2 linked regions of the Schizosaccharomyces pombe genome follow. Each later gene encodes a partner of the first gene's protein in a complex. Each region holds a gene or a part of one and is shown on either strand. Other genes may lie near its edges. A codon is read from its position in the direction of its gene.

Evidence for each region. The genes of interacting proteins can lie anywhere in the genome.
Region 2: the proteins of cbs2 (region 1) and amk2 are in contact, whole or in part, in a crystal structure (PDB 2QR1), measured with the Schizosaccharomyces pombe proteins. Residues at the interface, in NP_001342925.1 of Schizosaccharomyces pombe: Tyr25 (codon at 2,055), Asp26 (codon at 2,058), Val27 (codon at 2,061), Leu28 (codon at 2,064), Pro29 (codon at 2,067), Thr30 (codon at 2,070), Ser31 (codon at 2,073), Phe32 (codon at 2,076), Arg33 (codon at 2,079), Leu34 (codon at 2,082), Ile35 (codon at 2,085), Val36 (codon at 2,088), Phe37 (codon at 2,091), Asp38 (codon at 2,094), Thr40 (codon at 2,100), Leu41 (codon at 2,103), Thr45 (codon at 2,115), Ser48 (codon at 2,124), Leu49 (codon at 2,127), Leu52 (codon at 2,136), Asn53 (codon at 2,139), Asn54 (codon at 2,142), Ile55 (codon at 2,199), Trp61 (codon at 2,217), Ser63 (codon at 2,223), Arg101 (codon at 2,337), His123 (codon at 2,403), Pro124 (codon at 2,406), Met125 (codon at 2,409), Asp147 (codon at 2,475); in NP_588485.1 of Schizosaccharomyces pombe: Leu241 (codon at 1,021), Glu249 (codon at 997), Asp250 (codon at 994), Gln251 (codon at 991), Ser252 (codon at 988), Val253 (codon at 985), Leu254 (codon at 982), Pro255 (codon at 979), Asn256 (codon at 976), Pro257 (codon at 973), Leu272 (codon at 928), Val274 (codon at 922), Thr281 (codon at 901), Tyr283 (codon at 895), His284 (codon at 892), Arg285 (codon at 889), Lys286 (codon at 886), Tyr287 (codon at 835), Val288 (codon at 832), Thr289 (codon at 829), Thr290 (codon at 826), Ala291 (codon at 823), Met292 (codon at 820), Phe293 (codon at 817), Lys294 (codon at 814), Asn295 (codon at 811).

The regions. Positions count from the first base shown.
Region 1 is NC_003424.3:3,806,589-3,810,589, reverse strand, and holds cbs2 (protein kinase activator), read left to right. Parts: upstream 1-1,887; 5' UTR 1,888-1,919; coding exon 1,920-1,955; intron 1,956-2,018; coding exon 2,019-2,142; exon of another isoform or gene 2,143-2,196; coding exon 2,197-2,555; intron 2,556-2,602; coding exon 2,603-2,759; intron 2,760-2,814; coding exon 2,815-3,143; 3' UTR 3,144-3,458; downstream 3,459-4,001. Other genes in the region: tma19 (translationally-controlled tumor protein), read left to right, coding at 556-1,062; phosphomannomutase Pmm1, read right to left, coding at 3,741-4,001.
Region 2 is NC_003421.2:2,206,940-2,210,823, forward strand, and holds amk2 (serine/threonine protein kinase AMPK (beta) regulatory subunit Amk2), read right to left. Parts: upstream 2,089-3,884; 5' UTR 2,061-2,088; coding exon 2,036-2,060; exon of another isoform or gene 1,983-2,035; coding exon 1,722-1,982; exon of another isoform or gene 1,552-1,721; coding exon 1,449-1,551; intron 1,353-1,448; coding exon 884-1,352; intron 836-883; coding exon 797-835; 3' UTR 546-796; downstream 1-545. Other genes in the region: pbn1 (GPI synthesis protein pig-X), read left to right, coding at 1-531. UniProt on the Schizosaccharomyces pombe protein: Beta subunit of AMP-activated protein kinase (AMPK), which is required for transcriptional, metabolic, and developmental adaptations in response to glucose limitation.

The sequences.
Region 1 (4,001 bases):
CTTTTTTAGGTTTCTTCTGAAGCTCAGTACTGTTGAGAATGTTCTAATTACGACTCAAGAATTGACGGATAATAGCTCGAATAATAAATTTGAGGCGACATAAATGGTTACAAGTTGATTAAAGAACATAGAGATTAATACACATACTGTTAAATATGGTTCAATTGTTGAATTCATTTGGACTTTAATTCCAGCTTTAATCTTAATTTTACACGCATCATAATGGTTTCACTCAAAAAATCAGATTCAGTAATATAAAACAATTTACTACTGACTGAGTACAACGATATTTTCATCTAAAAAAAAATCTGAAAATATAAAGAATATTGTTATTTAAAAGAAAGGAGAACAGACTACGACAAATTGAAAAAAATGAAGGAATTGGTAAACAAAATGTATCTATCGAAAACAACGCTGTACTACGTAAAGTGAATACTGTTCGTAACCGCATTCCATACGGATGGCTAGAATCCAGTAACCCTGCCCTAAACTGTGACTGCTTTATCTCATTAAACCTGCGAGAAGTCAAATTATGAGCTACCATCTGCAATCACCATGTTGTTGTACAAGGACGTTATTTCTGGAGACGAACTCGTTTCTGACGCCTACGACTTGAAGGAGGTAGACGATATTGTCTACGAGGCTGATTGCCAAATGGTCACTGTCAAGCAAGGTGGTGATGTTGACATTGGTGCCAACCCTTCTGCCGAGGATGCTGAGGAGAATGCTGAAGAGGGTACTGAGACTGTAAACAATCTTGTTTACTCTTTCCGTTTAAGCCCTACTTCTTTTGACAAGAAGTCCTATATGTCTTACATCAAGGGTTACATGAAGGCTATCAAGGCTCGTCTTCAAGAAAGCAACCCCGAGCGTGTTCCTGTTTTCGAGAAGAATGCCATTGGATTCGTCAAGAAGATTTTGGCTAACTTCAAGGACTACGACTTTTACATTGGTGAGAGCATGGATCCCGACGCAATGGTTGTCTTAATGAACTACCGTGAGGATGGTATTACTCCCTACATGATCTTCTTCAAGGACGGTCTTGTTTCTGAGAAGTTCTAAATGCAAATTTGGGTTCTTATAAGGGAGTTTCTAACTGGGAACATGATATCATGTCTAAATTTTATAGTTTTGTGAATTAGTTTTCACAAAATTTCATTAGGATTAGAACAGGGGTTTTTGTTCTGATAATAATTAATTATGCTAGCTTATAATCATGTTCAAATTGAAATTAGTGTTTTTTTATCGATTTTGTATTTGGTTGAATGGAAGATTGAGGTATCGATGTTTTAAAACGTGTGTGCTAAAATTCATGAATCTATTTATATATTAACAGGCCGAAATAATTTAGTAAGTAAGGATATGGTTTGAAATTTGGTATTTTACCATTAATTTAGTGTATTTTTTTGCTTTTTATCGAAGTTGATAATTCAAGTCCTTTACGAGGAATAGCCAAACTTTTGTTATGGCGACACTAGACGACCCGGTAGCCATTGAAACTTTGTTACAGTCGAAACTATAGTTTACTGTTAGTACTAAAGATTTGGGAAATTTTTGCTCGACGATGTTATTTTTGTAGCGGACGACTATTGGATTAAATTTATGCTTAATTGTTAAGCCTTTTAATCAATCTTATCATTGAGTTAATAGACTAGTTGCATTTAATTTTGTCAATGTATATTGTTACGTTTAAATAGTAAACTATATAAGCAGTTTAAATCAACGAGTTTAGCTACAATATTCCCCTAAGTGAAATATATCATTTAAAAGCACTAACAAATACGCATAATTTAGGCATTGTACTATTTGCAACTAATTACTTAACACCTCGATTTGTTGCCCTTGTGCGGGTTACCATTCCCCTCGCTCATTTATCTAGTCTCTTTTACCAACCACACCATATATCCTTTGACGAGGTCATGACAGACGTTCAAGAGACCCAAAAAGGAGCACTCGTAAGTGATATGGAATAGATTTTTTATTAAATAGAAATAATTATTAATCTATGTGATGTACAGAAAGAAATTCAAGCATTTATACGCTCGCGTACAAGTTACGATGTTTTGCCTACGTCCTTCCGTTTAATCGTGTTCGATGTTACGCTTTTTGTAAAAACATCACTTTCTCTTCTTACATTAAACAGTACGAAAGATTTTTCATTACAGATGTGAAATCAACTTATTAATCACGTCTTAGATATCGTCAGTGCTCCTTTATGGGACAGTGAAGCGAATAAGTTTGCGGGCCTTTTAACGATGGCGGATTTCGTCAATGTTATTAAGTATTATTACCAAAGCTCTTCATTTCCCGAGGCTATAGCTGAGATTGACAAATTTCGATTGTTGGGACTTCGTGAAGTGGAAAGAAAGATTGGCGCCATTCCTCCGGAAACTATATATGTTCATCCAATGCATAGTCTTATGGATGCTTGCTTAGCCATGTCAAAGAGCCGTGCTAGAAGAATTCCTTTAATTGACGTAGATGGCGAGACAGGCAGCGAAATGATTGTATCTGTTTTGACACAATATCGAATTTTGAAATTTATCTCCATGAATGTTCGTAAATCGTGTTATGTTTTTATATTTACTAATTTCAAATTTAGTGCAAAGAAACCGCAATGCTACGGGTACCATTAAACCAAATGACAATTGGGACATGGTCAAATTTAGCTACCGCGTCTATGGAAACGAAAGTCTATGATGTTATTAAAATGCTTGCCGAAAAGAATATATCTGCCGTCCCAATCGTTAATTCTGAAGGTTTGTGAGATGTTTTGAATTTTTTCTGTGAATAATTTATATATTAACTGAGCAGGTACCCTGCTAAATGTCTATGAATCGGTGGATGTAATGCATCTTATACAAGATGGTGATTATAGTAATTTAGACTTGAGCGTAGGCGAGGCTTTATTGAAAAGACCAGCTAACTTTGATGGCGTCCACACTTGTCGAGCTACTGATCGTTTGGATGGTATTTTTGATGCTATTAAGCATTCCAGGGTTCATCGTCTTTTCGTGGTTGATGAAAACTTGAAGCTCGAAGGTATTTTATCTTTGGCTGATATTTTAAATTACATAATATACGATAAAACGACTACGCCCGGCGTTCCCGAACAAACTGATAATTTTGAATCTGCCGTATAATTTGATTCTCGTGCGCTTCAGCCTGAATGCATTCATAATCTGTTGAAAACATTGCCAAGTCTCATGATATTTGAAGTTAAACCGTTGAGTTGTTTCTTTTTTTTTGCATGGCAGCTCGAGGTGGTATCTAATTCAGTGTACTCGAATGAGGCTTCTTTTATTTCAAAAAGTATTAATTCGGTTATTACAACTTCTGTCTATATAATATGATGTGACTTGTACCATTATGCTAATGCCTATCTAATTAAATAACTAACACATGCCTTTCATTAGCTACTAAGTTCGCATTTTTCTAGGAATGCATCAATTAACCGATCGTAAGTGTAATTTTCTTGTAAATATTCTTTCATATATGCATATTGTTCAGGTATGAGTATTAAAAGCTGCGTTGGCAGTAGATTACAATAATTTAATGTTCTTCGCATTCCATGCTACCAATAATTATGGAAGATGTACGAGTTAAATGACAGATCAATTGTGTGCAAGAAACTTCACACTCGCCGAGCATATGAAGTAGTTATTTACAACTAAGAAAGCTAACCTTTTCCGTAATGATAAGAGAGGGACGCATATCTAATCAACACACTACAAACTCATCTATATGTTAAAAATTTTCTTGAGTTCAGCAATGGTATCGTCAGGATTAGTAACAGAATGTCCGATAGTACGAGGGTCGACAAAAATTTCATAATCATTGCCGCCTTTGTATGTCTTGTCTCCAAAAAAGTGAATTGTATCAAATCCCTCTTTCTCTACGTGTTGCAAGCAATATGTCTTATCCCAACCAGCAGGGAACACATCAAAAGAGATTTGACCTCCAATGGAAAATGTCAATCCATAATCCTTGAATTTTTCGCG
Region 2 (3,884 bases), on another chromosome or scaffold:
TCTTTGCAGGGGTTCATGTACATACCACCTACATTGTTTATTGACAGGTACGAGCTATCTAATATTGCGGAAATGCATGCCGACAATTTAGGGCATGTTTTAGGAATTTGGGGTGAGACCGACTTGGAAGCACCTAGTTACAAATTAAATGGTACTGGGTCTTTTTTCTGGTTTGACATATATACGGACGATGGTTTGTTGCAAAAAGACTATATAGACACTATCATTCCCTTACACACACGTTATCAAAGCCCTCTCAAAGGACAAACATACTTAAAAACATCATTAACAAATCCCAAGTTTTTCTGGAATTGTGACACTGAAGACAAAGTAAATGATTTCAGATTTCTGTTTTCCAGTAAGAACAAATATACCTTACAAAACGATCCAACAACCTTAAGCATATCTATTCCAATAGCCGATTTATCCTATAAACATGTCGTAGAATGGGTGACTAATGGAGTCGCGATTTTTTCGTTCTTCTACCTATTGCTATATTTGTGGAAAAGGTTCCGTTACGCAAAGGATTAAGAGAATAACATCGTGAAGTGAAGTAACTAGATATGTATTTATAAAAATTAATTAACCTATGGATCGCTACATAGTGAAATATGAACTGGTTGCTTTGTGCTTGATATCACAGCGTAAAGTTTTCTCGAAACAAAATCGTGCAAATAAACCAATCAAATGAAGTATAATGATGGGATGTTTGAGAAATTTAAAAAAATAAATTTATCATTAAAGTGATTATATACGTCGCGAAATATAAACAATAAATTCGACAGATGCGGTATGGCTAGACATCAAAATTTTTAAACATAGCAGTAGTGACATACTGGGGAAACAAAGTTAGTCAAGCAACGCGTATAAGGAACCGACTTACCTTTCGATGATAGCGCGTAGTAGCACTTAAAGCGAGAACGCCTAACTGGGTATTTGCAGCTGCTAAATGGTTTAAAAGGACGTGATTAGGATTTGGCAAGACAGACTGATCCTCCTTATAGGCAGTATTTGAGTTAAGGATACACTTCTCAAGATGAGGAGGTAGAGAAGGGGGCTTTGGCAACTTCAACTCTTGAAGGGTGTTGCTAGTAAGAAAAGCTGGTATCTCCGTAGAATATTGCTCAGATTCAGACTTTTCCTCCATCGGAAGGTCCGTATGAACTTGACTCAATCTTTCATCAATACTAGCGCCTAACTTCTCATTAGCTTCCACCTCGAGGTAGTTGTAAAGGTTGCCTTCCGCATCGGTGGCAGTTGGAAAATCTGAAGAACAGCACCATATACCATCAACCAAGAATTTAAAACGCTGAGTTCCAGGACGTAATTGCAAAAGGACAGTGTAATCTTCGCTATTTGGCGAAAAAGTTAGCAAGCTTAAAACAGGATAAACAACCTATAAAGGGAGGCTCAAATATAGAAAAAAGCACACCATGAAAAACTCATACCTTTTCAGTAATTGGATTTTTTTCTTCCAACGAGAAAACGATCCAGTGACATAAACAACTTCACCGCCTCCTCTCCATCGAATAATGGTTGGCACACAAGGACCTATATGTGTAAGTAATTAAATTGTCAATTGCAAAAAATCTCCTTTCTGAAAACTATTGCAAACAAACGTTAAGGTCAACAGCTTAAATGATAATGCAATGTTACGGTAAATCACCCTTGTTACATAAGGATGTCAAGCAATCAAATAAACCGGTCTTAAAGAAACTTACCAGAATAAGGCTGATGTGTCTTCTTGCCTGAAGTTTGAGAACGGCGTTTCGTATGACCACTCGATCCTGAAGTTCCGTTTTGGGAAGTACGATTATTACCGCCTTCCTGCTGATTATCATCCGACATTTCACCTTCTTGATTCAAATCATCTGCAGCAATACTAATCATGCTTTGGGCACGTGGTTCTTTTGGAACGTTATTTGCATTGTCAGGCGTTGTTGTGGCATCTTGAGAAGGGACAGCATGTGCGCGAGTCTCTCCTAACATTAAATTAGATACTTATTTCACATGTGTTTAACTTAAAGGACATTACCCTCCTGAGATTGAACATTTCCCATTTTGAAATGATGTAAAGTAGTTTGTTCTGGCTTTGTAGCTCATCACTTTGAACTAAACCCCAACGAGCATGAAATAAGGTTATTTATTGTATCTAAGCTATCATTAAATAGTGGAAGCTAAAGTGCAGCGTTATTCACAGTTAAACGCTTCGTACTGTTTTGCAGCTTTATCAAAGAAAACATTAATTGAAAATCCATTTATTATAAAGAATAAATATCTAAAAGCTGTATGATAAAAGCTGAAAAATTTAATATTGCATTTGGGACGTATAATACAGTTCTACAACAGCTATGTATAATCTTTTGAAGGTAAAAAGCAGCATGCTTCTCATTCTTAATGGAAATGTTTAAAAAATTATTGAAGCTACATATGAAACGATATAGAAAAATTTTAAACTACTCTGTGCATTGAGAGGCCTTCAAGTTAATTATACACTAAAAGCGGTTCACTTATAATTATTGTAACTTAGCGAGGCTTTAATTGAGTTAAACTTCCATAACCGAAAGGCCTGCATATTATATGTTTATAAATTAATGAATACCTTGTACATTACGCTCGTATAGCTTCATCTTTTTTAACTACGTTCTAGTATAACAATATATAAGTATGGCGCAAAAACTTCTTTCGTAAAAAAGACGCTTCTATTTCTCAGACGAAATCACTCAAATTAAGTTACGAACTTAAAAAAAGCCTGAATTTCTAGATATCAAATGCTCTATTTCCGTCAATTTTTCATGTCTACTTATTATGCTGCGAAATAAGCGAACTAAAATCACTGCATTGCAAAAACAAGAACAGTGTTTTCAATGAACGTACTGATTAAATACATTCCATATGAAACGAAGAATATATTATTTTTTAGTTAAATGACGACTTTACCAAACCAAACGTGAATTTTTGTTGCGATGAATCCTTCACTTTATAATCTATAACGAAGCAAAGTAGTGAAAACTTATATGTTGTTAGTACGCAGCTCAGTATTGGTTTAATGATACAATAAAGTATGAAGTATTGTTTTTTGATATGATATGTTCCATTACAAAAATGTCATGAATTGAAGTACATATGGTTGAATATGCTGTTAGAGTACTCTTTCCGTTCACCTAACTCAAACGAAATTTTGATTTCAGTGGTAATCTTTTTATGCTGTTTTAAAGCCACGAACACGAGGAAGGATTTGAAATAGACCGTTTAAATATACAAATTATACCCATACATATCCTAGAGGCTTTTAATGAATAACCTACGCGATTTATTGTTTGCTACGTAGTTTGGTATTTGTTTAGCGATACACTAAAATGCGATGAGTTTCTTTTGCGGGCTACAAGATAACGGTATGGGTATGCTTCACTAACAATATTATATTTATTGTTATAAGTCTACTAGTATTGGTGACCGATTTAGCTAATAACTGAACTGAGGAACGAGGTTCAGTTTGTCTTAATTTAAAGCATTGAAAAAACTATGTAATAAAATAACATCTTTTTATTATTGAACACTATTATAATCTTCTTGATAACTTATCTTGTAAGTAAATAGAGCAAATAGAATATTAGAGCATATGTTATAGTGTATCGTAGTGTATTTTATATAAGCTGACATTAATGTATTGTAGGAATAGTAGTATTTAGAATTGGTATGTACGCTACGCAGTTTGGTATCTGATTTAAGGATACGTAGAACTACGGTGAGTTTTCCTTGTGATCTATTATATTACAATACACAGGTTGTATAAGTAGCAACTGAGTATAGGTATTGTATTAACTGGGTTATAATGTTACCTATCACTAATATAGCTCATAACTGAACTGAGGAACGAGGTT